Drosophila melanogaster: one gene and its partners. The protein of the gene in region 1 purifies or fractionates together with the protein of each later gene. This does not show direct contact. Each region holds a gene or a part of one and is shown in the gene's direction. Other genes may lie near its edges.

What was found.
Region 2: the proteins of Dis3 (region 1) and Rrp40 purify together in Drosophila melanogaster (affinity purification with western blotting, with the first as the bait; 2 studies listed by BioGRID). This does not show direct contact.
Region 3: the proteins of Dis3 (region 1) and Rrp47 purify together in Drosophila melanogaster (affinity purification with western blotting, with the first as the bait; 2 studies listed by BioGRID). This does not show direct contact.
Region 4: the proteins of Dis3 (region 1) and Rrp46 purify together in Drosophila melanogaster (affinity purification with western blotting, with the first as the bait; 2 studies listed by BioGRID). This does not show direct contact.

The regions. Positions count from the first base shown.
Region 1 is NT_033777.3:24,329,310-24,338,888, forward strand, and holds Dis3 (Dis3), read left to right. Parts: upstream 1-4,123; 5' UTR 4,124-4,183; coding exon 4,184-4,563; intron 4,564-4,615; coding exon 4,616-5,060; intron 5,061-5,123; coding exon 5,124-6,202; intron 6,203-6,258; coding exon 6,259-6,927; intron 6,928-6,984; coding exon 6,985-7,360; 3' UTR 7,361-7,724; coding exon of another isoform or gene 7,725-7,761; 3' UTR 7,762-7,939; downstream 7,940-9,579. Other genes in the region: Rrp5 (ribosomal RNA processing 5), read right to left, coding at 1-1,428, 1,491-3,775, 3,832-3,912; CG6432 (uncharacterized protein), read left to right, coding at 7,725-7,761, 8,538-9,555.
Region 2 is NT_033779.5:1,725,521-1,732,351, forward strand, and holds Rrp40 (ribosomal RNA processing 40), read left to right. Parts: upstream 1-3,211; 5' UTR 3,212-3,308; coding exon 3,309-4,007; 3' UTR 4,008-4,242; downstream 4,243-6,831. Other genes in the region: Eno (enolase), read right to left, coding at 1-1,135, 2,126-2,313; CG31937 (uncharacterized protein), read left to right, coding at 4,464-5,429; CG17652 (uncharacterized protein), read right to left, coding at 5,883-6,296, 6,360-6,560, 6,624-6,743. UniProt on the Drosophila melanogaster protein: Non-catalytic component of the RNA exosome complex which has 3'->5' exoribonuclease activity and participates in a multitude of cellular RNA processing and degradation events.
Region 3 is NC_004354.4:15,942,848-15,950,095, forward strand, and holds Rrp47 (ribosomal RNA processing 47), read left to right. Parts: upstream 1-2,049; 5' UTR 2,050-2,208; coding exon 2,209-2,481; intron 2,482-2,549; coding exon 2,550-2,756; 3' UTR 2,757-3,402; downstream 3,403-7,248. Other genes in the region: CG8924 (uncharacterized protein), read left to right, coding at 1-443, 503-1,208; mmd (mind-meld), read right to left, coding at 5,520-6,147, 6,673-7,029.
Region 4 is NT_033777.3:10,409,161-10,416,123, forward strand, and holds Rrp46 (Rrp46), read left to right. Parts: upstream 1-4,140; 5' UTR 4,141-4,212; coding exon 4,213-4,318; intron 4,319-4,383; coding exon 4,384-4,619; intron 4,620-4,677; coding exon 4,678-5,037; 3' UTR 5,038-5,072; downstream 5,073-6,963. Other genes in the region: Irp-1B (iron regulatory protein 1B), read right to left, coding at 1-497, 557-1,211, 1,280-1,396, 1,456-1,556, 1,619-2,129, 2,192-2,407, 2,469-2,638, 3,460-3,552 and 1 more; CG6345 (uncharacterized protein), read right to left, coding at 5,073-6,824.

The DNA.
Region 1 (9,579 bases):
TTGTTCTTCTTTAAGATGTCTACAACGCTAATGTAAATCTCCAAAGGATCATTGCAGTTTAGGGCTTCCTTGAGCACATCATCGAAGTTGTTGCTGTAGACGAGTTCCATGTTTAGCAAGGCGCTCCACATGTTCCTCAGTTCCTGTGTTTCCCGGAAGGATATCGTGGATATCGCCCTGCGAGCTAAGGCGCGAGCTTTTTCAATCTCTGTGTTGGACAAAAGGAAAGCGATGTACTTCAGCCAGGATATACTGTTGTTTGGCTGGGCAATCACAAGGCGCTCGTACTGGTCGATTGTCTCCAGACGTGCCTTGGGATCCGCATTGCGCTCCTCGATCTCCCGCAGTCGCTGCTCTTCCTTGATCTCCGCCTTGGCCTTCTCCTTGGCGCTGAGCCGTTTCTTTTTGGCTGCATTTTTTTGTGTTTCCGCCACATTCAGCTCCTCGTCTTCGTCGCTGGACCCTTCCTTGGACTGGTTCACATCATCCTCCCAGAAACTAGACACACCGGGCAAACGCGACTTGCCTTCTGCTCCATTGCTTTTGGGTGTCTCAGACTTGGCATTTTTGGCTGGAGTTTTATCTTCAAAGAAGAGCTTGCCATTCTGCTTAGGTTTCTCTTTCACAATTCCATTGGTCAGGGGTTGAGTCTTCTTTTGGCCATTGGTAATTTTTTCTACCACTTCTGCCTTTCGCTTGGTAGGTATGGCTTTCGCTTCCGTTTTAGTTTCCACTTTAGCTTTCGCTTTGACTTTCTTCTGTGCAGAGGTCTCCTCAATTGTAGTCTTCTTTTGTTTAGGTGACTCCTCTACTTTTGCCTTCTTAGCTTTTACAGGGGCGACCTCTGTGCCCGCCGTTCTCTTCACTCCCCTCCAGAGGCGCCAAACAGTCTCTGGCACTGCGATATGGAGTTTGTCATGGATGAAGGCTATATTGCAGAAATCTCCTTGGCGCAACTCGGCACTTCCAGAATTTTCGATATCGTTGGGGTGCAACCGAATTGGACAGATGACCAACGGGTTTGTGCCCTTCTTAAGCGAGCACACTGCTACGGACTCCAGTTTTAACAGCACCTTGGCCTTCATGCCAGCCTTTCCGATCAGATTCGTGGATAGTTCGCCGCTTGGTGAAATATGCGCAATGTCCAGCTTCTTGTTGCTGATGAGTAGCACATCGCTGGAGTATTCAATCCATAGAATAACTGCCTCGTGCTTGCTACCCATCTCAGGAGCTTTGGCAGTTCCAACCAAACTGGAGAGCAGCAGGGCGGACACCTTGCCATTGCCTTCCACTGTGTAGACCCAGTCATTGGTGGTCGCATCAATGCCCTTGAACACCACGTTGATTTTCTCCCCAACGGAGTATTTTGAAATAGGGGCGGAGGCTTCCTCAAGGCCTGCCTTTATTTGCGCAACTTCATTTAAATAGCTGTAAAGAAATTCAAAGAATAACTAATTAATGAACTCAATAAGATTTTATTTTAGACCTACCCTTCGACCAGTTTTGCAGTGTCACTAAGATCCCCGCTCCAGACATCCGTAAGCTTTGCTGAAACTGTTAGAGTCTTAGTTTCCACCTCCTTGCTGAGTACCTTTACCCATAGCAGTTGCTCAGGAACTAGCTCGACGGGCGCATTTTTCACGGCATTCAGACGAAGCATCTTGACGTGAACCTTTACCGGCTTATTGTAGTTGCGAACACACACCATGAGGTCCACCACCTGGTCGGTGGCGTGTTTCACATAAGAGCGTATTATGTCTCCCACTTGAACCGATTGCCAATCCTTGGTGAGCTGGCCACTGAAGTAGGGGACATCTCGTAAGCTGAAGATGTTCTGCATAATGCAGGCCGCATCGGTGTAAGAGCCAGCGGGATGGACCCGCATTTGGGCGTGCAGCAGCTCCAGGTGATCCGACAACAATCGCAGTGGAATTAGGCCCACAAACTCCTCCAGCTTTGGATTCCCATCTTCATCCTCTTCGTCATCTTCGGCGGCGAAGGTGATTTTAACTTCCAGTCCAGCGTCTAAGGCATTGGTTATCTCAACGGGACAGATCTCACCAAGCTGGAACTTGTCCTCCGGCAAAGTCAAAGTGATTTGGTCCTTGTTGCGTGTTAGGATGCGGAACTTAGTTGTTTGTCCCTCGAAAAATGAGCTATTTTCCTTTAGATTCTGCCTGTGCAAAACTCCTTTGATGCCGTTGCCGAACTTCACTAGGACGTAAGTGTCCTCACATCGGACTACTGTGCCCATATAGACGTTTCCAACGTGAGCGGACGCATAATCAGTCAGAATTTTAATTCCCTTGCCCAAATACTCGGCACGATTGCTCACGTAGCAGATTTTTCGCTCGGCATTAACTTCTAGGACGCGGCACTTCAACGACTGACCCACATCGTAGCGGACATTGGGTGCCAGATAGAACTGTTCCAGTATTCCGTTGACCTTGCCGATCCTCACCGACCAGCCCTTGATCTTGTCATCCTTCTTGAATATTTTCGCTGTGACCAGATCGCCGGCATTAATATCCTCCAGGCAGAACAGCTTTTCGTTGACCACGTTGGGATCATCGGAGCAGTAGTACAAGGATTCGATGACATCGTATCCTAGGATGCGAACCTTATGCTTCGTTTTTCTTCCGTATTTGGACAATACTTCGTCCTTGTCATAATTTCCCTTGAAATTGCCTCTGATTGAACCGTATGAGATAATGCCCTTTAGTTTCTTATTAAGAAGCAGTACCACGCCACCGCTGCCCAAGCGCAGAACCTTGGCTTTTTCCACCACGGAACCCACCTTTATGGGCTCTACCTCCTGCTCTTCCTCATCCTGATCTTTTGCTACTGCAGCTCCAGTTTTGATATCCAGATTAAGAGTTAAGTACACTAGTTTGGTTAGGGGCATCACGTAGAGTACCCTGGCATTGTAATCCTCATTCAGCTCGTAGGCATCCAAAGTATCCAAAGCGTTAGCTAGATGATGTTCGTTGACGTAGGCACTAAAGGATTCATTCATGATGCTGCCTTTGAGGCCATCCTTCAGATGCTTGGCCACCTTAAACTTTACAATGCTGCCTGGCAGAATGTAGTCGAGATTCGTCTCGTTTTGACTCTTGATGCGCAGCTGGTCCTGCTCCACCTGGACACAGGTGCAGGTGCTCTGGTGGGTGTCGTGATGAACGGTTTTGACTTTTAGGAAAGCCAACTGCCCCACGTGTAGCTTCTGAGCTGGCTTCTCGCATGGCACGAATGCCTGAAGTCCTTGTACTCCCGACTCGATGACATAGCCGTGCTCCAGAGCCTCCGCCACGGCGCCAGAGAAGATGAAACCCTTCTTAATGCTCTTGTGATGCAGATTACCGTGCACATCGGCCGGCTTGAGGGAAAGGAGCAGGCTAACCCGACCGGTGTCCAGCTTTTCTGTTTTGATGGCCTTGCCGTAGACGATGCGGCCCAACTGGAAGAGCTCGGTAAGGTCGTGGTACTCGCTGGTGTCTCCGGACATGGCCGCCTTGGCCACACGGGTGTAGGCGTCGGATATATCCGCCACCAAGGTGCGGGCGAACATCCGACCGGGCAAAGCGATCTGCAGTGCGGTGGCTGTCAACTCCTTGACCACTCCCATGACCAGCATGTCCTCCTGCAGCGTGTCCATATTGAGCGTTTCCGCGGAGAAGGCCTCCAGTTGGCCATTTTGTTCCTCGGTTTCGTAGCTCAGAAGGTTCTCTTTTACTTTCGGCGCCTTCTTCACCTTCTTCTGCGAGGCACCGAAAACCTGTGGGACAGAAAAGTATGTACAAAGATCTCGGATATTTCGCTGGCTAAACTCACGATATTCAGGCTCACGTCGTCGGTTTTGACTTCGCTGTGGATTGTCCCGCCTCGGGGAAAGCTTTTCTCGTTCGGCACCATCCGGGAGCTGTGTAATTTAGCGTTTTAAATAACAAAATTTGAGCAACGTGCGTTCTACACGTGCTAAGCGCCGATATAGAAAATCAGTTCAATAAATGGTACTAAATTATACCTTAAGATACGGGGCAGTCCGTAGACTCAAACCACTGTGACCATTGCGGCTGCAGTGTGAACAGGCCTTAGGCAGATAATACCGCAGTCGAATCATGCACGGGCCTCCCTATTCCGGCACACATGTGAAGGTGTAACAATTCGAACGCGGTTCAACAAAATGCAAACTTTACGCGAATTTACGCGTAAAACCAAGCGCGGCAACATTCTGAAGATTGTACGGGAGCACTATCTGCGCGACGACATCGGCTGCGGCTCCGAGCTGTGCCGGGAGTGTTTCCAAAACGAGGTATACCAGCTCACCTCGCAGCACGCGAATAAGAGCACCCTCTTCAAATTCCCGCACTATCTCGTTTTGGACACAAATGTGGTTCTGGACCAGATCGACGTGCTGGAGGAGGATGTTTTGCGCAACGTAGTCGTTCTGACCACCGTGCTCAACGAGGTGAAGCACAGGAGCTCCGCCATTTACAAGCGATTCAATGAGATCGTCCACGACCGCACCAGGAACTTCTATGTGTTCGTCAACGAGCACCACAAGTGGGTTAATGGATTTTCTTGGGAAACCTTTATAATATAGTGCTTCTTCTAGGGAAACCTATGCTGATCGCGAACCAGATGAGACCGCCAATGATCGCAATGATCGGGCCATTCGTCTGGCCACCAAGTGGTACGATGATCACCTGCAGGCCTCGCAATCCTCTAAAGAGTTCGAGCGCAGTGGCAAAGCTGCTACGCGAGTTGTTCTGCTCACAGATGATGCTGCCAATCGTGCTAAGGCCGAAGCAGAAGGTATTCTGGTGACCACAGCAGCGGAGTACGTGAAATCTCTCGAGGATTTTCCACTTCTGATGGATAAGCTGTCGCACAAAACATTCGACAGCGAGAAGAATGGTCTGCCCCAGTACCCGCCGCATCTCAGCATGAAGGAGCTGCTGGAAGGACTGCGCCAAAATAAGCTACTACAGGGCACTTTTCAGGCATCCAGGGAAAACTACTTGGAGGGCACCGTCAATGTAGAGAAATTCGAAAAGGGGGTAAGTTAAAACGCTAAATATCTTCCCTGGCATACGCTTCACAATACGATTTCTGTTTAATAGATCCTTATCCAAGGACGCGAGTCTCTTAATCGGGCCGTGGATGGCGACCTGGTGGCCGTGGAGCTTTTGCCCGAGGCGGAGTGGTCAGCACCCAGTGAAATTGTACTGGAGGAGAAGAATGTCTATGCCGATGAAGTGCCCAGCGAGGAAAGGGCCAAGGATGAAAATGAGATGTTGAATCAGGTGCGTGCCGCTGCCTTATCCGCAGAGCGCACGCCCACAGGGCGAATTGTCGGTATTGTGCGACGGAAATGGCGACAGTATTGCGGCATCCTGCAGCCTAGCTTAATAGAGGATACAAATCGGCACATCTTTGTGCCCGCCGACCGTAAGATTCCGCGCATCCGTATCGAAACGCGACAGGCAGCAATGCTGCAGAACCAGCGCATCATCGTAACGATTGACACATGGCCGCGCAACTCGCGCTACCCACATGGACATTTTGTGCGCTCCCTGGGACCGCTCGGAGACATGGCCACCGAGAACGAGGTTATCCTGCTGGAGCACGACGTCCCGCACTGCAAGTTCTCGGACGAAGTGCTTAGCTTCTTGCCGAAAATGCCCTGGACAATTACTGACGAGGACTATTCCAAGCGTGTGGATCTGAGGGATCTGTACATTTGCTCTGTGGATCCCCCGGGCTGCACGGATATCGATGATGCTTTGCACTGCAAGGAACTACCGAACGGCAATCTGGAAGTGGGCGTTCACATAGCCGACGTAAGTCACTTTATTCGTCCAGGAAACGCACTGGACATGGAGGCAGCGGCCAGGGGAACCACCGTGTACTTGGTGGGCAAACGAATCGACATGGTACCCGAGTTACTCAGCTCAAATCTCTGCTCATTGGTTGGCGGTGTTGAGCGATTCGCCTTCTCCTGCGTGTGGGAAGTGGACAATGAAGCAAATGTGTTAAGCAAACGCTTCCACAAGAGCGTCATCAAATCGAAGCGTGCCATGACCTACGAGGAAGCGCAGAATATCATCGACGATGCCACGCAACAGAATGAAATAGCCAAGTCCCTGAGAAATCTTAATCGGTTGGCCAAAATACTGAAAAAGCGACGAATGGATAATGGGTAAGATTATATTAACACCTCGTAATCAAGTGAACTAAGGCATCCATAATTTACAGAGCCCTTGTCCTTGCCTCCCCGGAGATCCGCTTCCAGGTGGACAGCGAGACACACGAACCACTCGAGGTGGAGGTGAAGCAGATGCGCGAGACGAATTCCATGGTGGAGGAGTTCATGTTGCTGGCCAACATCACGGTGGCCGAGCATATCGCAACGGAGTTCTCCGAGTGCGCTGTTCTGCGTCGCCATCCTCGGCCACCGCCTACCAATTTCGATCCGCTGGTAAAGTCTGCGCGCTACCAGGGCTTCCAGGTGGACATCAATTCGGGACTGGAGCTGTCGCATTCACTGGACAAGTGTGTCAAGGCGGATAATCCGTACTTTAACACAATGATCCGCATCCTCACCACACGCTGTATGATGCAGGCAGTGTACTTCATCAGCGGCAGTCTGCAGAAGGAGGAGTTCTTCCACTACGGTCTGGCTGCTCCCATCTACACGCACTTTACGTCGCCCATTCGTCGTTACTCCGACATTATGGTACATCGCCTGCTGGCCGCCTCAATCGGCGCGGATAGCACCTATGCCCAGCTATTGGACCGAAAGTCAAATGAGGAGCTGTGTCATAATCTTAACTACCGCCACAAAATGGCTCAGTACGCTGGTCGCGCATCAGTGGCCCTCAACACGCATCTCTTTTTCCGCGGCAAGGAGGAGGATGAGGAAGGGTGAGTCGAAGAAACCACTAGTGGGCAACATTCTTTTCAATTATTACCCATCCCTAGATATGTGCTATTTGTGCGCAAGAATGCTCTGCAAGTGCTAATCCCCAAGTATGGCCTGGAAGGCACTTTGTATCTAAAGTCGGACAAGGATGGCAAGGACGGTGTGGAGCGCGTCAAGAGCGAGATTGTCTTCACCTTCAACGAAGAGGATCATACACAGCGTTGCGGTGACGTGGTGTTCCACTCCTTTGATCCAGTCACGGTTCGTCTTAGCCTGGATTCCAGCAATGTGCAGCACGAGAAGCTGATCTTCCGGCTGGTCAAGCCGTACATCAAGGGCTTCAGCGTGGAAACGACCACCGAAGGAACTGATAGCCAAGCGGTTTCTGCGGCACCTCCATCGAAAAAGACAAAGAAGGATAAGAAAAAGAAGTAATTCTTTGGATCTTTGCTTATGTGGAACTAGACTACGCTGAAGATGTGTAACTACAATCATTTCGTATAAATAAAATGTAAGGTTTTTAAATTCCGCTCCGTTTCGTAAACCTTTTCCACCGTTCCGGCTCTGCCGATCTCGGAGAGTTTCGAAAGCATACCTTTGATCGGGTGTTTTGTTTAAGGTTTTGGTTTCCAACTTGCGTTCTACATTCTCCAGACCCATTGCAAAGTTTCGACTACAGTGCGACGGTTGTGCTGAGCTCGTTTGATCCAAAAAATTCAAAAAGAATATATATAATAAATACATATATACATTAACTTGACTTGAATATATACAAGAACGGAAGTTATACAAAGTTACAATGGAACCCGGTCCTAGTGCAGTGAACTACGAAGGCAGTAAGTCGAAAAAGGTTTCGAAATTCATATGAAAAGGCTAAAAAATTTAATCAATGAGTAATCGCGTGATTTTTGCGGAACATATATTTATATCGGTACACATATTTTAATACGCATATTGAAAACATCAGTTAAAATAAACAACTTTTAGAACATCAAATAAAGTGCTTGGAAAACTAATATGCCAACTTTCGTTGTGATCTAAATGAATTCTATAGATTTTCGAATTTTCCAAAAACTATCTAAGTGGAGTCCAACTTTTTACAATATTCTTGGATTCTTGCAGTGCGATGTAGATAGATAGATAATTTATGCACAAGAGTTCAAGGTGATAAATATTGTGTTTTAAACCACTGCTCGCCAATTAAAATAATGAACTTTCGATGCGACTTTGAAGTGATTAATTAGTGTTTAGTTGTGCGCCCAAACTGTCGGCACTAAATATTAATGAATTCGATTAGCTTATTCAACAAGGAGGCTTTTAGGTCCAATATCCATCGCCAATCACGTGTGGATTATGCTCGGCGTCTGGGTGAGCCGCACACCCGACGCATATGTGCAGTACATGGGTGCCAGGTTGGGTATATAGAAATCAGTTGAGTGACCGCGACATTTGGAAAATTTAAAATTCAATGTGCCTGGTGTGTGTAAGGTGGTATGGAGTGGAAGGTTTGTAATTTAGTTTGATAGCCTAATTAAAAGCAGCGATTAACCCAATAGAGGAAACAATGAACCCGCCCATCTAATGGTCACCTGCTGCTATACCTTTTCCGCAGGTGAATCTGTATGCGGCATGCCGGTGGAGGCTCACGATCCTCTCTACTTGAAGGCCTATCGCCAGAGTGTTCAGAATCCGGCTGCATTTTGGGAGGAGCAGGGTAACCTGCTCGACTGGGATCGGCCATGGGAGAAGGTACTGGACAACAGTAATCCGCCATTCACCAAGTGGTATGTGGGTGGCTACCTGAATGCCTGCTACAATTCCATTGATCGCCACATACTGGCCGGCCGCGGCTCCAATGTGGCCCTAATCCATGACAGCCCCTTGACTGGCACACTGCGTCGGGTTACCTATCAGGAGCTGTATGACCAGATCGTTCTGCTGGCAGGCGGCCTGGCCAAATTGGGCGTGGTCAAAGGTGATCGCGTCGTGATCTACATGCCCCTCATCCCGGAGACCATCATTGCCATGCTGGCAATTGTGCGTCTGGGTGCGATTCACTCCGTGGTCTTCGGTGGCTTCGCTGCCCGCGAACTCTGCTCGCGCATCGAACATGTGGAACCAAAACTGGTGATCGCCTCCAATGTGGGCGTGGAGCCGGGCAAAGTGGTGCCCTACCTGGACATCCTTCATTCAGCTATTAGCATGTCGCGATGGCGACCACCGCAGCGTAACATAATCTTTCGGCGTGATAATGTTTCGCCAGATACCACCAAACTGGATCCTCTGACGGATGTGCTCTGGTCGGATATTCTTAAGATGGCGGAGGGCGAGCGGCCCATAGCCTGTGTTCCCATCGAGGCCAACGATCCTTTGTATATCCTCTATACCTCTGGAACGACGGATAAGCCCAAGGGAGTACTTCGCACCATCGGAGGTCACTTGGTTGCTCTGGTGTACACGCTGAGAACTCTCTATGGCATCAATCCTGGCCACACCTGGTGGGCGGCCTCAGATATGGGCTGGGTGGTGGGTCACTCGTACATCTGCTACGGTCCACTCTGCCTCGGAGCCACCAGTGTTATGTACGAGGGTAAACCGGACCGTACTCCTGACCCGGGTCAGTACTTTAGGTGAGTGGTTATGCCCCACCTTGT
Region 2 (6,831 bases), on another chromosome or scaffold:
GGAACGGTGGGAGACCATGGTGCCCCAGCCGTTCTTCTTGGCCAGCAGATGGGCGGCAATGGACTCGGTGACGGTGCCGATCTGGTTGACCTTCAGGAGCAGGCAGTTGCAGGCCTTCTTCTCCACGGCGGTGGCAATACGCTTGGGGTTGGTCACGGTCAGATCATCGCCCACGATCTGGATGTCGGTGCAGCCGGTCAGGTTGGACCAGGCCTCCCAGTGGTCCTGGTCAAAGGGATCCTCAATCGAGACGATGGGGAAGTCCTTAATAAACTCCTGGTACAGGTTGGCCAGCTTGTCGGCGGGCAGCCACTGCGACTTGTCGCTCTTCTCGTTCTTGAAGTCCAGATCGTACTGGCCATCCTTGTAGAACTCGGAGGCGGCCACGTCCATGCCGATCTCGATCTTGCCGGTGTATCCGGCCTTGGCGATGGCATCGCTGATCAGGTTCAGAGCCTCCTTGTTGGACTGGATGTTGGGGGCGAAGCCGCCCTCATCGCCCACAGCGGTGGCGTCCAGACCGAACTTGGCCTTGATCACATTCTTCAGGTGGTGGTACACCTCGGAGCCCATCTTCATGGCCTCTGTGAAGCTGGTGGCGCCGGTGGGCAGGATCATGAACTCCTGCATGGCCAGCTTGTTGCCGGCGTGGCTGCCGCCGTTGATCACGTTGAAAGCGGGCACCGGCAGGATGATCTCCTTGTTGCCAGCCAGATCGGCAATGTGTTTGTACAGCGGCACGCCCTTCTTGGCGGCTCCAGCCTTGGCCACGGCCAGGGAAACGCCCAGGATGGCGTTGGCTCCGAACTTGCTCTTGTTCTCGGTGCCGTCCAACTTGATCATGAAGTTGTCAATGGACGCCTGGTCAACCACATCCAGATTGGCCTTGATCAGCTCGGGTCCCAGGGTGTCGTTCACATGGCCCACGGCCTTCAGCACCGACTTGCCATGGTAGTTGGCCTTGTCGTTGTCGCGCAGCTCCAGGGCCTCGTGGACGCCAGTGGAGGCGCCGGAGGGCACGGCGGCTCGGAAGAGTCCCAGCTCGGTGGTCAGGTCGACCTCCACGGTGGGGTTGCCACGGGAGTCGTAGATTTGACGGGCCTTGATCGCTTTGATGGTCATCTCGTTGCTGTCACTGAAATCAAAAAACAAAAAACAAAGTCCACGAGGGCGAATTAGTGTCTGTTATCAGGACTTTAAATCTAGGCATGGTGTTCTATTAAATAGCTGACCGCAGATGAAGCCATTCAGATTTTATGGCGGATGTGCTCCACAATATTTGCGAAATCCCCGCCATTACTTAAATAGTTGGGCTTATTTATATTTAAAATTGTTCCAAATGGACAGTTAAATGATATGTTTCGTGATGCAGTGAAATATTCGGAAATATGTCGAAAAAGAAATACGAACTAGAAAGGAAATGGGAGATACACCTTTGACATACTTTTGGACTTGGTTCTCAAAATATGGTTAGATATTAATAAAAAATTATTTTTTTTTGCAAAGAATTGTAGCTGTGAGCATGTAAGTCACTTGCAATTTGAGCTGTGAGTGGTGTAAACTTATACATATATCCCCATTCGGGTGTGACTTTCTCCACGGTATAATCTCGAAATGCCCCTCCTGAGTTTTCTATATTTAATTTGTCTTCAAATTTCAGTTAAATATTTCTATAATAATTTAGAGTCACTGACACTGGCGGCATTTCCCGCTTTTCCGCTTATCTCAGTGGGAGAGTTTTCAGTTTGCTCTCGCCGAACAACCGAATGACCTCTAAGCTACTTTTAAAGGTCAGACCCAAAGTGAGGCGTCCAGCGAAGCCGCAGTACGTGGAAAAGTTGCGAAAAACGGAAGTATCTCCCTACAGCGATACAACAAATGCCTGTCAATTGAAATTATTAGATTTGTGCAATTAAATCGATTGGAAATATACGTAAACGAGACACTTGAAAATTTGCACAGCACCATTTGTTAGATAATCGCGCGGATATCGCTCGCAAAAAACGCTCGATTTTCAAGCCCTTTCGATTGGGGTGATCTTTGTGAAGTTCGCAGATAAAACAATTAAATATTTTCCCTAAGCTGGATGCACAAGCACACACCAAGAGTCTAGCAATATACATACCAAGTACTTTTGCGGATCTGCACAAATTTAAATCCAGATGAGAGCTGGCTGACTGCTGATTTGCTTCTGAAACGCGGCGCAACGTTTGCCGATTTATTCTGGGGAATTCTGGGGAGAGGCCAGCGCAGACGCAGAAACTTCATGCTAGTGGTGGAAGTCCTCAAGAAAACTGAAGCGGTCCAAGACATGGCTTGAATGTGTAAAAGACGGCGGCGAAAGTGCTACCAATTTGTATCTTGATAAAGGAGTAAAAAATATCATTTAAAATATATATTTTAGTTACCTTACATGAAACTATAGCTCTGTTGCAAGCTATATGATAAATTTAATATTCATAAATTTTAAAAGCTCAGCTTAGGCGATGTATTTTTGCCCATCTCTAAGTGTGGAAAAGAGAGGGACACTTACATTTACTCTCCTTTTATATGTATGCGTTTCCAGGTGCTCGCCGGTTTTCAGTGTGGGGGTGCGCTTTCCCTTTTTTGTTGTTTTCCCTGGTACGTTTCCTATATTTTTTGGGGAAAATTGACCTTCGCACAAGGTTAGAGTAATCGGGATCCACACGTAGCTGTGGATTGCATGTCTATCTACATAATAATAAATGCTCTCGTTAATAAAGCATAAACAATCAAATGGCGTCAAGAGAAGTGTAACAACCAATGATAATGAAATGTTCCCGTGGTTTCTGGACAATCGGGTCATTCAAAGTCACATACTTGTGGTTAGTCACGCTTTTTAGCTGCCATAAATTAGAACAAATAAATGCAAAGCGGATTTTAACAAATCGTACGATTATGCTTATAGCAGCACAGCTGATCGGGAAAAAATTGCATATGTGTTGGTTAACATTGCCGCCCACACGCTGTTAGCTCTTTAAAACTTTCTTTGCATTTTTAAGATCATTCAGTAATATAGAACAATTACAATTTGACTAAATATAATTTTTCTGTTACTTTTTTAAGTTCATCTTAATAATTAAAATCGTAAGCATTTTGAAAATAATAAAATAAGAAGGGGCAAAAATAATTTGAATATTTATGTTCTTTACAACTACTGTTAAATTTAACTTTAAGACCAGGGCTGACAATGGCAGTGTTGGAAAGTCCTCGACTTGACCATATGTTTTGAAAGACACACGCGGATTTTTTGTTTGGAGTTTTCAAATCGTAAAAGCAACATTAAAATGAGCGCGACCAGCACAATAGTTATGCCCGGTGAGCGAATTGCGGCCATTGAGGAGCTGGCCAAGAGCAAGCGGGTGATACTCGGACCGGGACTGCGGCGTCTGGATGACACGGTGGTGGCTAGCAAGGCGGGCCCACTTCGACACAAGGAACCCGGCACCTTCTGGGTGGACAACTACCAGAGAAGGTACATCCCGGCACGCGGGGATCTCATTCTGGGCATTGTGCGAGCCAAGGCGGGCGATCTGTACCGCGTGGACATCGGAGCAACGGACACAGCCTCCATATCGTATCTCGCCTTTGAGGCGGCCAGCAAGAAGAATCGCCCGGATCTGATCCCCGGTGATCTGATTTACGCGAGAGTCCTGAATGCAAGCGCGGACATTGAACCGGAGCTGGTCTGCGTCAACTCGGTGGGCAAAAGTGGCAAACTGGGCGTCCTCACCGATGGATTCTTCTTCAAGTGCAGCCTGAATCTGGGAAGGATGCTGCTGCGGGAAAACTGCCCTGTTCTCGCCGCTCTTACCCGGGAACTGCCCTACGAGATCGCTGTGGGAGTCAACGGCAGGATATGGTTGAAGGCCCATTCCCTGAAAGAAACCGTGGCCCTCGCCAATGCCATTTCAGCGCTGGAGCAATCGGGATGTGCGGAAATCGACAAAATATGTGGCAATCTCGGAGACTTCCTGCAGGCCTAGGATTAGTTCTTAGTTTACTTACTTTTATATAAAAAGAAATGGTTAGCCAAACTGATGGGGTTGAATTTTGATGTGAATGTTGGCGCAAAGGCAGTGTGTTGGAAGCCCTGATTCGTTTACGTAAAAAAACTATCAGAGATGAGCAGATGGAAGCGTTTTTCGTATCTTGGATTATGCTCTACATGTTCTCTCAAGAAAGATAGTACTACCCTTACCTAGCTACCAAAAGGTATTTAAATAATATAGCATCATTCAAAAACCAAGTATAAGGGTTTTATGTCAGATAAGGTGACTACTTTCCGCAGTCACTGCGTCACCTCTGGTGCCCACCAACAGCTGATCGATCAGACCCGCTCGCAGTGATTTCTGTGTGGCCAAGAACAGGTTTCAGTGCCTTCCGTTGCGGCAGAGGACAAAGGTTTCTCCGACCCAGCCGTGCCATACAGAGCCAACGAGATGAGCTTCCTGGAGTTTCTGCTGCTCCTGCTCGTGCTGTACTATGTCGTGTACGTGCTCCTCTGGATCCTGCTCGACTGCAATGTGGCCCTGTGGTACAAGTCCCGTTTCGGAGTCTCGCTGTCGTCGATGCGCGGACAGGTGGTTTGGATAACTGGTGCCTCGAGCGGAATTGGCCGCGCTTTGGCGCTCAGCTTGGCCAGGCATGGAGTGAAATTGGTGCTAAGTGCCCGGCGACTGGAGCAATTGGAGCAAGTGCAAGAGGAATGCCTAGCTGCAGCTCGCGGACTGCTGGCCACCAAGGACGTGCTGGTCATTCAAATGGACATGCTCGATCTCGACGAGCATAAGACGCATCTCAACACGGTGCTCAATCACTTTCATCGACTGGATGTCCTTGTCAATAATGCTGGCCGATCCCAGCGAGCCAGTTGGACCGAAGTCGAGATCGAGGTGGACCGGGAGCTGTTCGAACTGGATGTCTTTGCGGTGGTCCACCTCAGCCGCCTGGTGGTGCGCTATTTCGTGGAGCAGAACGGCGGTAGAGGACACATCGCTGCCACCTCCAGCATCGCCGGCTTCAGTCCAGTGCCATTTTCACCCACCTACTGTGCCGCCAAGCACGCCCTTAACGCCTACTTGCTCTCCCTGAAAGTGGAGATGCGCAAGCTGGATGTGTCGCTCTTCGCACCGGGACCCATAGCCACCGATTTCCTGCAGGAGGCCTTCACTGGCTCGCAGGGCGGAAAGGTGGGTCTGAGTACGGCCAATCAGAAACGGATGACGGCCCAGAGATGTGGCGATCTGTTCGCCGTTGCCTTGGCCAATAAGATGGATCTCACCTGGTGCGGCCTCTTTCCCGTCAACCTCTTGGCCTACTGCGCCCGGAATCCCACGCTGAGCAAGATTCTGGCTCAATTGATGACCGAGAAGACGCTGAACAAGATTCGCGAGGGCAAACTGTGAGAACAACCCCGGTGTGCCTCGCCCCTTCCCTATTCCTGCTCCAAACGGCTCTCAGTCATCTTTTATACTGTTGTATAATTCTTAACTATATACTAAAATATATAAATATGTGCACAAGATTAAGTTGAGTGTGCGTTTCAATCGCGATAATCTTCACAGGCACAGTGGGATTCTACAGTTCCTCCCATTCAATTGGTGAGCAATATTGTGGTAAGCTAATAATCAATTAAGATTTATGAATTCTAAAATATTCTAGTTAACTTAAGTCATTAACCAGTAATTTAGTAATCTATCATCTGGTTCAGATGCATAGATTTTTTTGCCATTATAGAAGAGGGCATATTACACTCAGGTGGCTAGTTAAAGCAGCTCCTCCCACATTATAATGATTTGTCAAGACTGCAGATTACCTTGCATTATCTTATATTTATCTACTTGATCAACCATTCTAATCTAATCTTTTCCTAGCGCTGCCTTGACGTGCGCTGGGATCTTGACTCGTTTTCGTTTCGCCTTGGTTATTGCGGTCTGCTCAACTCCTTTGAGCTGTTGCTTCGCCTTGTCCTTTTTGCTCTTCTTGCAGGACAATGGATTGGGGTTCTTGGGCCCTTTGTGCTTCTTGGGTTTGACTGCAGTTTCAGCTGGCTTCAGTCCCTGCTTCTCCTTCATGTAGTCGATTTTCTCGACCTGTTTGCCCAGCATTAGGTTTTTGGCCCGTCGTTGCACCCACTTCTTGGAGGCTTTAGATGGTGCTTCCAAGACGGGAGTGGCTTTGTGCAGATAGAGCAGACAACGTCCGGGAATCTTGCGAAGACTCTCCTGCAGCAGACGATCTTGCGAGGCAACCACATAGCGATTGTCTTTGGTCTGAAAGGCAAGTAATCATTTTATGGCTATAGCATACTTGAAATCAAGTAACTCTCAATTTACCATCGATTTGATGCATTCGGAAGCGGGGACTGGTTTTCCTTCGTGTCCGCATTTGTGGACATGGAATCGCTTGACGATGGATGTGGCTCCAGTGAGAGGAGCACCCAGGGATTCCGACTCCAGAATAACACACTGGGTGGTCAGTAGCTTAACGCCGCACTGGAAGTACTTTTTAATCTGCTCATCTATGCCAATCTTTTGCTAAAAGTAAAAATTAACTATGGATATCAACAAGTGCTAGAGATGATATAAGCAATAACCCACCTGAAGGGCTGCTTGGCAAAAGGTGGCATCAATTAGCACTTGGTAGGGTTCCCGGTAGTCGAAATTGCTGGCAAAAAACACCAGAGTTTTGTGCGACTTCTTAAAACGAGATATTTTCATGATATTTGCGGGTGGGTAGTCACCAAGTTTTATCAAGTAAAAACAAAAACAGCGTGCAAGTACAGTGTTGAACAGCGTTCAAGCTCAG
Region 3 (7,248 bases), on another chromosome or scaffold:
AGTCTCGAGGCTGCTAAGGATCCAGCTGCAACCACAGCGCGAAGCTTCAAGCATGTGGACAGCGCGGAAACGGACGATGCAGCCACTAATTCAACCACCTCAACAACAATGACCACCTCCTCCGCTCCACCGCTACCGGTTAACCATCAGCAACCCACAGTATTGAAGCGCCAGAATCCCGATGCTCGGCAGCAGCAGCAACAGCAGCAGCAGCAGCAGGTGCAGCAGCGACCCCAGATAAATGGCAGTAATGCTCAACAGCCATCTAAGGCCACCTCTACGAACGTTTTGGGCAGCCACTCGAATGCACCAACCGAGGATGACTCCGGCGACGAGGTGCCGAACAATTGGAATGCCTACGGGGAGCAATTCGATGATTGCAATATATCTGCGCAAGCCGTTGACAACAAAATGAATGTCCACCTATCCCTGCAGCAGGCGAGGTTTGTTTTTGCATTAATATGACAAGTATCTCTGGATAAATATATATATCTTTTCACAGGATGCAAATGCAGCTTCAGCAGCAGCAATACTTGGATTCAAATGTTGAGGACGACCACAACTATGTGGCCGCTCATGATGAAAACAATGACAGCAGTTTTGCGACAGGAGTGCCATGCGGATCCGGGCTATCCCTCAGCCTTGACACTGATCTCGATACATCGGCCAATACTTCCGGAGGACTGAGCCATAGCTCGATCGATGGTTATACTTCATATAAGCGCGTTCGACGTTCAGAAGCATCTCTAGCACAAGCGGCCAAATGTGTTTCGAAGGGCGAGACATTCCAAACTGTCAGCAATATGTTCAATATTCCTGTCTCAACCATTCGTTTCTATATGGCGCGAAAAGGAATTCTTCCGAAGCGGAAACGTGGACGTGGTGCTTCCCATGCCGGAAACATAATAATCACAACAAACTCAGGAAAACTCTCAACCGTCCCAGCGAGCATAACTCATCCCCCAGCCCATCCGCATATCCACACCAATCCCCTTCCTCACACGCAGTCTCAGCAAATGTCCATGGACAGCCTACATCTCAAGGCGGGCATCGCAAATACCAGTGGCAGCAATAGTCCGGCAACTGCAACGGCAACGTCTATGTCACCATCATTTGATATGGCCACAACAGGTGATATTGTGCCTTTTCACCTCCATAGCGATGCGGCGGCATTCAAACTCAACGATCAGAAGCTGCACATGATCTAACCACGCAATTTGCCAAGTTGTGCTGTACTAGTAGGGCGTGTATTAATAGAGAGGGATTTCCAAGCAGTAGCTGCTTTCTTTCATTTCGGGGTACGCATCGGCTCGTGTGGGATCTTTAGTCATAACATAGTCAACAAAATACAATTTATACATAGGTTTACTTAATTACGCTTTGGAGATGCCACAGTTTTATCCTTGGTTGAAAAACTCTTGCCGTTCAATCATTATTCATTTTACTTTGGCAATCATAAGAAATTACAGTAGATGTATGCTATCAACAAGGATTATGACTAAAAACTTGCGTAAAAATTTCAATTATGTTTCTTGTCGCCCCAGTACTTTAAGGAATTACTGTATTGTTAATAAGATAAATAAAATCGACCTGGAAACTTTTACTGGGTATTCGTGTGATTGCAAAGATAAGATGAAAATTTATAATAAACTCGAAGGTCGTAAAAGACATAATCATAATGCTAACAGCTTAAACTAAATAATAATGTAAAGTAATTATTATTGGTCAAATACATCCGATCTATTTTAAAACCATGTACTTTTCCTACAAGAATACGCAAATCTTCAATACTTGCTTACAATTACTCGGTTTGTTTGTTTGCTTATTTTTTTTGGTCATTATAACAATTGGCCATAAATGCAAGAATCCCAATAATAAATTACGTTGTGAAAGTATTATTAAATACATAAGTACTGTGTACGAGATGATTGGGCAATAAAAGTTTAAATGCATTCAAAGTAACAACAATTTTTTTTTTGCTAAATTTATTATTTGAAATTTGTACTGTTACTGTCAATCATTTTTTTTTTATATTTGTACATATGTATGTAGATTAGCACAGTGCAGGCGCAGAATGTTGAAGTGGAAACGGCGCTTTTTGAATACTTCTCATAGAATCTATTTCTTTTCATGTTCAATCAACGGTCACACTGTAAGCCTAAGCCAGATATAAACATTCGCACGCGATTTTAATTCCATTTAAAGAACATGGCTCAAGAAAATCAAGCTGTCGACAATGGACTGCCCTGCAACGCTTACCTGGACACAAGCCTGCGAGAGGACGAAAACATGCAACACATCCTGAAAACCTTTTACAGCAGCATCGAACTCCTGGAAGCCGACACGGAGAAGGCACTGGCGCTACAGGCAGAACGCACATTGAACACAAATGAACAAATAAAATTGGATAGCTACCTTGTGTACTTGAACAGCACACTGTTTTTCATATACCTGAAACTGCAGGGTGAAGATGCCTCAAATGTGAGTGCAATATATACACAATACACAATTCACATGGCGACAATTATCATTTAATGATTCCATTTCAGCATGCTGTGATGCACGATTTGCGTCGTACAAGGGACCTACTTGCCCGCGATAAGAAAATAAACGATGCTCTAGCGGCGCCAAGACTGGATATGCCCGCTGCCAAGCGATTTATCGCAGCTGGAACCCACACACGATTTGTGGACATGAACGGAGTTATGGTCTCCGAAAAACAATATAATAAAAGCAAGCAAGAAACTCCCAAATAATTAAAATCACAAAGTGTTGATTCTATAGTATAGCAGCCTAAAAGGATCATTTGCCTTTGTTTCGTCGTTACGCTAGACAATGACAGTTGTATTAAAAAATGTATAGAAAACACGATATTTTCTTACTGAACCATCCAAAACACAAGCGTCACAAGCAATCGACTCATCAAAGAAGTCAAGTTAGTACACCTTAATGAAACTGGGTTTACAAACTGAAACTGTTTGTTTTTTAAATGAATATCAACAACGTTCTGTATATGAATAAACTAATCTAGGTAAAAATGAAAACGAAGAAAAATGAAATCAGAATTATTTGTATGAATATGGCAGCATTCTGCCATTTATTCTGGGCTTCCTAGATTCCAAGACCGCGTCGTAACAACGTCTTCCCCCAATGTTTATCGCCAATTTTTTGTGCATGCAGGACAAAAATGATTATATGTACCTTTTCGACGACAATTCCTTCCTGTGGATAAGGCCAGTTGGAGAGGCACAACTTTCCGAGGTGCTGGACCCTTCGCCCTTTCGAAGACTACAGCAAATCTGCGAGGCGTCCCACCCGCAGGATTCCTCGCCTTTATTGTATAAAAAGCTCCTGCGTACCGTTCGTTCGTCTAGCTCCTTGCCCCATCCTTTGTCATGCCCTTGATCAGTCAAGTCAAGACGGTATAGATTCTATCGCCAAAAGGTGCTTCAAAATCTGATACTGCTGCTTACCTCATAGATTAAGATTTTATTGTTGGGACTCGGCTTTCCAAATGATATATACAAAAACAAAAAAAAAAAAAAAAAATGTTTGGAGCAAATCCTAAAGGTGTCGTTTCTGGAGCACATTGAGTGTAAATGTCAAAAATAGTATTGAAGAAGATCAAAGTTCAAATCATTGACTAATTAAAAATAGTATTGCATAGGAACAATGTTAAAATATCGCCTACTTATTATCCAGCACTTAAACAAGATACTATATACATATGTATATATATTTTTTTAAATTTCTTTAATGCCTCTTTTAAATTAGGATATAGTTGATTAATAAATCAATATTAACAAGAGAGAATGCTATAGTCGAGTTCCCCGTCTATCAGATACCCTTTACTCAGCTAGTGCTCTATTTCTGAAAGTTACTTTTTACCTTATGTATATTACCTTATATATTTGTGATCCTGGTTTTCAGAGACATTTGACAAGTAGCGAAGGAGATGAGAAACGGATGCAGTGGTCCAACAATGGTTGGAATCGACGTGCGATTCTGGGAATCATTGCTGCGAAATATTTTTAAACTCAGCATAGAAGAAAGCCCTGGTCACCCTAATGAAGACAAATGGATGTTGTAAAGCTGGAAAATAATTTTAATTCGTACGTTTCATTCTAAATGGCTTAATTTACGGTACAATACGATATATTACTGATGTTTCAAAACCGATAAATTAACATTAGCATTGTCCTTAACTTTATGTTGATCATATTCATACTTTAACCATACAGATATTAATATTTCCGATTTATTTTTTCTCCGCTTTCATGTTTTCACGTTTTCTTGAATTACTTTAATTATTTTTTATGTATATAGCGTTTTTGTTATTCATTCCATTTGGTTTTTTTTTTCGTTTTTTGGTTTTTTGGTTTTTTGGTTTTTTCCATTTTTTAAGATTATTGAACGAGAACTGGCAATATAGCCCAAAATTTTCTATCAGTCGGTGTAAGATTGCCCCAATAAGGGGGTTTTTTAAAGCCCGGGCTGGGCCCAGTGCACAATTGTATTTTTCCTGCCGCTTATCCGTGACCATCGAAATGTTCAAGTTCTCTACACGTCCAGCAAAGGATCGTATAATTTACTAACTAGCATAAATATTAATTTTCATATTTACAGCTGCGTTTTGTGTTTATTTTTATTTTTGTCTTTTTGGTTTTGTTATTTATTCTTTTTTGTGGTTTTCTGTTTACGGTCATTGTTTTTTGTTTTTTGGTTTGTTTTGTATTTTATTTTATTTTTTTTGAAAGATTTTCCTACTCGAACATTGGCATTCCATTGCTTGGTCCGAGGTATGCAAAAAATATGTAAATATTTCCCAATTTTTAATTATTTATTTCGTTAATGCGGTTGCTGTTGTTTTCGGTTTTGGTTTTGGTTAGCTTTTGCTTTCATTTTTCGGTTTTTGTTGTCTCTCATCATTATACGTATCATTATACGATTATGAATATAAATTGGGATGCACTCACTTAATAATTGTTATTAATCTATGAATAAAGTATGGCTATTTATTTACCACTCACACATAAGAATACACATTTTTGTTGCTTGTTAAGTTTGTTTTTCCATATTCATTTCCATTTTCCCATTTTCCATTTTCCATTTTCCCATTTTCCAGTTTCCCATTTCCATCTCGCTTCAATTTGTGTGCTAACTTTTACTCCGCTCCATTTTACGTTAACTAGTTTGTTTTGTTTTGGTTTTTGTCTGCTGTCTTCACATTTACATTTATTTACTTAACTACTTAGGGCTAAATTCATTTATTTATGTGCTTATACACGAGCAACGTATTGGTAACTATGCTAAAGTAATCATAAAGGTCGATACAAATTTCATTTATTTAGAGAGAAAGCTAGCTGCGCGCTGGCTCCGGGCACATGTGAGTGGAGTGGGCGTGGCTGATTGTTGATCTATGCGCGATTTCTGATGCAGTATGGACCGCATGGATCGCATGGATCGCATGGATCATATGGACCATGAGGATGATCTTCTCTATCATATAGATAACAATATCAATGCTTATATTCCGGGTAGCAGCCATTCTCGATGATTTGTTCGGACTGACTGTTGTTGCTGCTGCTGGTATCGCCTGATTGCTGCGGATGATGATGCTGATGCGGATGCTGCTGATAAATTGGCAGCTGAAGGAGCTGCAATTGCTGCTGATGCTGACTTAGTGCCGCCGTGTCTGCCGCCGCTGCTGCTGCTGCCGCCGATTGCAAACCGCGACGAATGGGCGGCTGGATAACACTTCCACTGCTTTCCGTTTCCGTTGAGGGCGGGGATGGATAGTAGTCCCTCTGACTTACACTTATACCATTTGGGACGATTGGCAAAGCCATTATAGAACTGTTGGCCACCGATGTCGCCGCTGCCACTCCCGATCCCGATCCCGCTGCCGCTGCGGAGGATTGATGATGATCGCCGTGGTGCTGATGCGGATGCTGCTGCTGCTGCTGCTGCTGCTGCTGCTGATGCGGATGCTGCTGCTGAGCTATAGCCCCCGAAATGGGTCCGACGTCGATGTATGGTTGGGAATCCGACATTGTACCGGATGGCGGCTGGTCCAATACCACGACGGATACCACATCCTCACTCGCCCACCGGGCTAACTGTTGTTGAGCTTGAATAAAGTCATCACTAGAAAATAATAATCGTAGCAGGAACAACGGCACATGGTAAGAAATCAAACGGGGGCCATCGAGGAAGCGGATTCGGATTGGGATTGGAATCGGAATCGGAATTGGAATTGGTCTAGATGGATAAATGGTATGGTCACATGCTACGTCTAGTTCTCAATCGAGCTATTCAATTTGAATTACACATCTAAACAATCAATCAATGGGAAACTATCCATAAACTAGAAGTTACAGGCCAATTGGGTTGGGGAAACTGTGGGTGTGGAGGATCATCATATGTGGGCATAAATCAAATGCTACAAACTGCTGAGCTGGTAATAAACGATGCATCAGCAGCAGATCGTCTTGGTTCAAATGGAAGAGCTCCTGAACTGAAGGGTTCTCTGAACATTATATATTATATCTTATCATATCATATCATATCAAATATGTGATCGCTCAGCTGGCTGCATCGTTTACGTGGTCAGGATAGTGGATTATGGCCTGGCAATGGAACCAAGAGACAGTAATAGTGACTCAAACCTACCTCTCGCTATCTGGTGTCTCGTGGCAGTCGAGTCGAGCGTCGACCACCTGGCGTTCGTGGTGGTCAGCGGTCTCGTAGATGCCCTCGTCCTCCTGCTGCAAATGGGTGTGCGATGAGTGATGGGACGAGTGTGGACCGTGCGTGGCATGTCCATGGGCATGGGAGTGGTGCGTATGATGTCCGAATGCGTGGGGTGAGTGCGACTGGTGCGGCGCATGGCGTCCAGATGATGCCGGCTGTCGGTAGCGTCCACCGAATGTGAATCGGGACTCCTCATCGGAACGGGGACGACAGCTTCTGCTGTAAGACGCATGAATTGTAGCGGTTTTCTGAGATTGTGGTATTTGCTGATTGGAGCTATAGGCGATAAGGATAAGAAAAAAAAGGCAAGCAAATAATCAAATTATTCAGTGGCATGGGAGTTTATGGATTTGCTGCTTTTCGGACTTGGGACTTGGGATTTTTTTTTTTTTTTTTTTTTTTTTTTTTTTTTTTTTTTTGGAAATTTATTGAATTATTATGGTTCTGCTATGTAGAAACGATAGGCAAACGAGATTTGGACTGAGCCTGAAACCG
Region 4 (6,963 bases), about 14 Mb from region 1:
AGAGCTTCCGCTGCCGTAGTCCTTGCCTACAACGAGGACCAGAGGAGTACCCTCCTCGCGGTACCGCTCGGCGGCATCGAAGATATCCAGCTCTTCCTGGCTGGGAATGTGCACGGTGCGGGGTCCTGTCTTTTCGACCAGTTTGTTGACCAACCGAATGTTGGCGAAGGTGCCGCGCGACATGATGGCATCGTTGCCACGACGCGATCCGTACGAGTTGAAGTCACGGGGTGTGATGTTCCGCTCGGACAAGAATCGGGCAGCAGGCGAGGTTCTAGCAATAGATCCAGCCGGCGAGATGTGATCCGTGGTGACGGAATCGCCTAGGAAGAGCAGGCAACGTGCCTTCTGAATGCTCTGCAGCTTGGGAAGATCTCTGGTCATGCCCTCGAAGAAGGGTGGTCGCTTAATGTAGGTGGAATCGGCACTCCAGGAGAAGAGCTTGCCCTCGGACACCTGCAGAGTCTGCCAATCCTGGGAGCCCAGCTCAATTTTGCCTGCAGATGGAAGTGAAATTAAACCAAACTCAAATAAAGATGGCGCACGAAGTACTCACTGTACACCTCCTGGAACATGGCGGGGATTACATGCTTGTTCTCCACTTCCTGTATCTCCGATCGCGTTGGCCAGATGTCCTGCAAGAACACATTCTTGCCATTGGCATCCACTCCCAGAGGTTCCTTCTCGAAGTCGATGTCCACGCGTCCTGCGATGGCATATGCGATCACCAACAGAGGACTGGCCAGATAGTTGGCCCTGGTGTTGGGATGGATGCGACCCTCGAAGTTTCGGTTTCCGGACAAAACTCCAGCACACACGAGGCCGTTCTTCTCGATGGTGTTCACCACATTCTCCTCGAGAGGACCGGAGTTACCAATGCAGGTCATGCATCCATAGCCCACAATATCGAAGCCCAACTTCTCCAGATAGGGAATGACTCCGGACTCTTTCAGGTAGTAGGTAACCACACCGGATCCAGGCGACAGCGAGGTCTTGATATAGGGCAGGATGCTCAGACCCTTCTCAACGGCCTTTTTGGCCAGCAGACCGGCACCCAGCATCACCGAAGGATTCGATGTGTTCGTGCAGGATGTGATGGCCGCAATGACAACAGATCCATGATGCAGTTTGTAGGTCTTGCCATCATCCCACTGGAACTCCCCAAAAGCGGATTGAGCTTCCGGAGCAATGGCGAATCCCTTGAAACCCACCTAAGGTAATGGTGGAGCAAAACAATGTTTAATTTAATTCCCTTTTTCTCAATGAATTTGAAACTTACTGGGCTGGACAGGCACGACTTAAAATCCTCAGGCATGTCGGAGACAGAAACGCGATCGTGAGGACGCTTGGGTCCCGAAACGGAGGTGACCACCGTCGACAGATCCAAGGTGATACTCTGTAGAAGGGATGTATGTTAGCTTAAGTTTTTAGTGGTATATGTAAGGCAATTTCAACCTGAGTAAACTTGGGATCTTGGGCCGCATCAGCATAGTTGCGCAGCTGCTGAGTTGCCTTCAGATACTGGCGAATGATGTCGATCTTCTTTTCAGACCGATCTAAAAAGTTTGTTATGATATAGGTAAAATATTGTTTTATGAAACAGTCTGGTTTTCCGTACTTGTCTGCTTCATGTAACCAAGAGTATTCTCATCGATGGGGAAGTATCCCACGGTGGCTCCGTATTCGGGACACATATTGCTGATGGTGGCCCTGTCAGCAATGCTGAGTTCCGCAACTCCCGGGCCGTAAAACTCCACAAACTTTCCCACCACACCCAACTGGCGCAGGTGCTTGGTAATGGTCAGCACCAGATCGGTGGATGTGACCAGTGGGCTCAGTTTGCCCTCCAACTTGTAGCCAATTACCTCGGGCAACAACATGGAAATCGATTGGCCCAACATCACAGCTTCCGCTTCGATGCCTCCCACTCCCCAACCAAGTACGCCCAATCCATTTATCATCGTGGTATGGGAATCAGTGCCCACCACACTGTCGGGATACAGAATCTTGGAGCCATCGGTTGCGTCATTCTCGAACACCACGCGGGCCAAGTACTCCAGATTCACCTGGTGGACAATACCGGAGCCAGGTGGCACGATCAGCATGTTGTTGAAGGCCTTGGCTCCCCACTAATTAGGAAAAACAATATTATTAAAAATACTATCTGGATAATAAGCTAAGGAAAAGTAACCTTCAGGAAGGTGAAGCGCTCCTTGTTGCGCTCAAATTCCAGTGACTGGTTCTTGGCCAAAGCATCAGGCGCACGGGCGAAGTCCACCTGGACCGAGTGATCGATGACCAAGTCGGCGGGGCAGATGGGATTGATTTTCTCCGGGTCGCCGCCCAGATCCAAAACAGCATCGCGCATAGCTGCAAAGTCCACCACAGCAGGAACTCCAGTAAAGTCCTAGTAGCAAGATATTATATAATTTAAATATTACTTTGCTAGATTGCCGTATGAAACTCACCTGCAGGATGACACGGGCCGGCTTGAAGGACACCTCCACATCGTTGGATCCCTGCTTGAGGGCGGGCGACCATCCCAGGATGCTCTGCACGTCCTTCTCTAGGATATGGAAGTTGTCGCAGTTGCGAACCGCCGACTCCAAGAGCACTCGGATCGAGTAGGGCAGTTGATCTACGCGTTGGAAATGTTAAGTGTTAATCAAAGTGTTTAGAATTTCATCACAGGTACAGTAAAGCCTCTTGGTGAGAGGACCTAAGACAATTTGCCGCACTAAACGTATGTATCTTTAAAAAACCTTTAAGTTGCACTTGTTGAATTAAAATTCACGAGTAGAGTAAAGAACCTCCCTTTTTCTATAACCGTCCACCTTAGTTAGTTTAAAGTGTGCTAGTCAGATAGCAGTCACTTCTTATCACAGGCACAATGATTACGTTTGTCCAGCACTTAATGCGATTCACAGGCGTCACTATATGGGAGGAGCCACCAAAGAAGCCCTCACCTCAGAACCCCGATTTCTGGACACGCGCGGTTCCAGTAAAAACATTCCACTGATCTTGAGATTTTTCGGAGTCATCGGACTACGACCCCAAATCAGCAGATCTGCGAAGTTTTAATTCGCTGATAAGTGAGCACGTAAAATTGGGAAATGGAAATCAAATTTCGGAGGCACACGATTCGTTATCACCGCTAGACGAGCCCCATTATGAGGCAATCTGGCGGTGATAACTTTCGCTTTCGGCGCAAGACAAGCCCGCCCATAGAAAACTATAGAAAATCCACTTAATGCTCCGGGAGCACCTTCTACTTGACATTGCCTGACTTGCAAATTGAGCTGTTCTTCTACGCTTCTTTTTCAATTCAGGGGTCAAACTCCAACTTCAACAGGTGCTTAATTAATCCCATTTTTGATATGCATGTTTAGCCTAGTTTATTGCGACCACGTAGACAGACACGCCCACTTTTAAAGCCTTCTTAAGACCACATCCACTTACCATATTTACTATCGATGGAGGCGAGGTCAAAGTACTTGTATGTTGTGCCGGCCTGGGAGAAAGTTTTCTCGAACTGGGCGAAGGGATTGGCGCCTGCGACGATACGAATGTGTTATATAAGCCACAGGATTCGGGGGACAGGGTATATGGTAGTCGAGGGAACTGCAAAGCTCCGGACTGGCAACCCACCTGACATCTTATTGGAACTCTTTACTGAACTTATTCCGGACGAGCAAAGCAAGAAACTGATTGGAGAAGCAGTTCGGATAGGAGCTGGCCAGCCTTCGCTGTCTATCGATAGCCAGCGATAGTTGCGTATATCGCCAGTCGGATCGACAGTGCATTTTATACATTATATATGGTGCATTATATTTTATAAAACGATAGCTTTATGTTCACTTCTCTTTTTCTAAAATGAGATTATAGTGTTCTGCGCTTGGTATGTTATTATCATATGTATTAAATGCAGTAATAACTATTCGGATATTTATGTAATACACCATCTTTTGAAAAGCCTGAAATTTGTGCAATTATCAGTAAACTAAATCGACGAAAATAATTGAAAGTTGTATAACATATGGTTCATTTTTAAAATGAAAACTCCACCCGCCAAACCTATCAGTAATCGACAGAGCTCGTGCAATCGCAACATCATATTGCACCGATATGTCGAGGGAAAATTGAAATCGTTATCGAAAATACGAGGCGATAGCACGCGCACGTTGTTTTCTTTGAATATTAGGAAAATATAATATGAATTTACCAGCGAAAATGGACGTGGAAAAGGATAAGCTTCGCCAGATGCACTGCGAATTCAATCCCTTGTCGCGTTGCGACGGATCCGTGATGTACAGCCAGGGTATAGCCGTGTTTTCAACTCTAGTACATGGCCAGAACCGGCTAACATGGTCTTGCCAATTTCAGGTGCTACAGGTCTCATAGGCGCAGTTCTCGGCCCCATCGAGGTGAAGACCCAAAACCTGAGCATAGATGGCAGCTACTTGGAGTGTAACTACCGACCAAAAGCGGGCCTGCCGCAGGTTACCGATCGGATTCGGGAGGCGGCCATTCGGGATGTGCTGGAACTGGCCCTCCTGTCGGAGGCTCATCCGCGCTCCAAGATGTCCGTGCAGATCCAGGAGCTGGAAGATCGTGGCAGTGTATGTTTTTGAATCTCCTTCATCTGTAATCCTTCTAACAATATATATATTCTATCAGATTGATGCCTGCGCCGTAAATTGCGCCTGCCTAGCCATGCTCATCGGAGGCCTGCCTTTAAAGTATAGCTTTGCGGCTGTCCACGCCATCATCAACGAGCAGGGCGAGTATGTGCTAGATCCGGACCAAAGTGAAACCCTCCACCAGCGCGCCAGTTTTACATTCGCCTTTGATTCTGTAGAAGGAAACCTTTTGTTGATCCAGACAAAGGGCTCTTTCAAAATAGCCCAGTTCAATGATATTGAGTGCCTATGCCTGGCTGCCAGTGCCGAGATCTTTCAGTTCTATCGCAACCAGGTTGCAAAGTATCATGGCAGGAGTGAGGCGACGGCTAAGAAGGAGGACGTCAATGAGACGTGATGTTAAAACAACTGAAACTACGATTAAAGCTCATTTTATTGTATTAACTGTCTGCTGTGAAAGTCGGTTATGTTGCTCAGCTCGAGGGGCGTGCCCTTCAGCACCTGTGAGTTGGATTCCTCAATGCGGACGGCCAAAAAGTCACCTACTCCAAACGATTTTCTGGCTGTGGAATCTCCAGATATGGGTACATATATAGAAGGAACTATGACCTTGATATTGGCATCATTCCGACCGAACCAGTGAGCATCGGACCTCTTGCTTTTCCCTTCTATAAGTATGAGCTGCTCCTGGCCTTCCATTTTACGATGTAGCTGTGTAGCTCCCTCTCGGAAAACCTGGACCATGCGCTGCAGTCGCTCATTCTTCACGTTTATGGGCACATCATCTTTGTAGCGCCGATGGGCAGTGGTCTTTTCTCGCATGCTGTAGGCGAACAAGTAGGCCACGTTGTACTGCACTTGTTGGATAAGAGATACAGTGTCTTGGAACTCCTCTTCCGTTTCACCGCAAAAGCCGCAGATAAAATCGCTGGACAGCCCCACGTTGGGCAAAAACTGTCTGATGTGCTGCACAAGTTCCAGATAAGCCTCTCTGCTGTAACCACGTCGCATCCTTTCCAGAACTTGGGTATTGCCCGATTGTGCTGGCAGGTGAAGTTGCTTGCACACATTCGGGTGATCTCTGATGACCTCCAGAACTTCGTCGGAGAAATCCTTCGGATGCGGCGAGGTGAAACGGATGCGCATGTCTGGAACAGCTTGAGCCACGGATCGGAGCAATGCTGCAAAGGGAGTCCCGCCTGTTTTGGGCTTGTAAACAGTGCTAAAACCGGGCACTGGAGTTGCTTTCAGTGAGTCCTGTTCCTCCTGCGCAGTTCTGTCTCTGTACGAGTTGACATTCTGACCCAGCAGGGTGACCTCCTTCACGCCCTGTTCCGCCAATGCCTTGACCTCAGCCACAATGGATGCCAGGGGGCGAGAGCGCTCGCGTCCACGGGTGAAGGGCACTATACAATAGGTACACATGTTGTCACAACCGCGCATGATGGACACAAAAGCAGTGGGCGATTCGGAGTTTAAGCGAACGGGCATCACATCCGCATAGGTTTCGTCCAGCGAGAGGAGCACATTGATGGCCGAGTTGCCATAATGCCGGGAGATAGCCAGTAGTCGCGGCAAATCCTTGTAGCTATCGGGTCCGGCGATTACATCCACACATTGCTCCTGTTCCAGCAGCTTCTCCTTTAGTCGCTCCGCCATGCAACCCAGCAGTGTCAGCTGTAGAGGATGCCTCCGCGTACTGCGTTTGTTCTTCATGGCTCGCAGGTGCTTCAATCGGTTCCTGATCCTCTGCTCCGCTCCATCGCGCACTGCGCACGTTACGAGCATTATGACATCGGCCTCCTCCGGCTCCTGGCATCTCAAATAACCATTCTCCTTCAGGATACTGAACACCACCTCCGTGTCATTCGTGTTCATCTGGCATCCGTAGACCTCAAAGTGGACCTTCCTTCCGTTTCCATTGAAATCAATCGAGTTCAGGTACGGCACACTGGTGTCCACATGCTCCTCTTCATCAGTTTTCAGTCTTGACGCAGGCTTGACCGCAAAAAAGTCTTGGAAGCCCGGTCCGCGTTGAATCCTCTCCAGAAAAGTTGCACGTGCTGCCGGCTCTGATTTTAGTTGACCCGCTGCGCTGGAGGTAACGGATGTCGTAGCTCCTTTCGAGGCAGTCGTGGAGGCATGCCGCACTTGGCGAACAAATGCCCGGTAGCTTATTTTCATGGCAGTTATTTATTTATGTAATTTTTATGTTTCTGTTCAAAGAAGTGGTATTTTATTAATGGTATTACAAGTGGTATTTTTCAGGGCTGGAAAGCGTTGTTTACCTGAAACAGCTGGGAGGATGATTTTTATTCGCCAT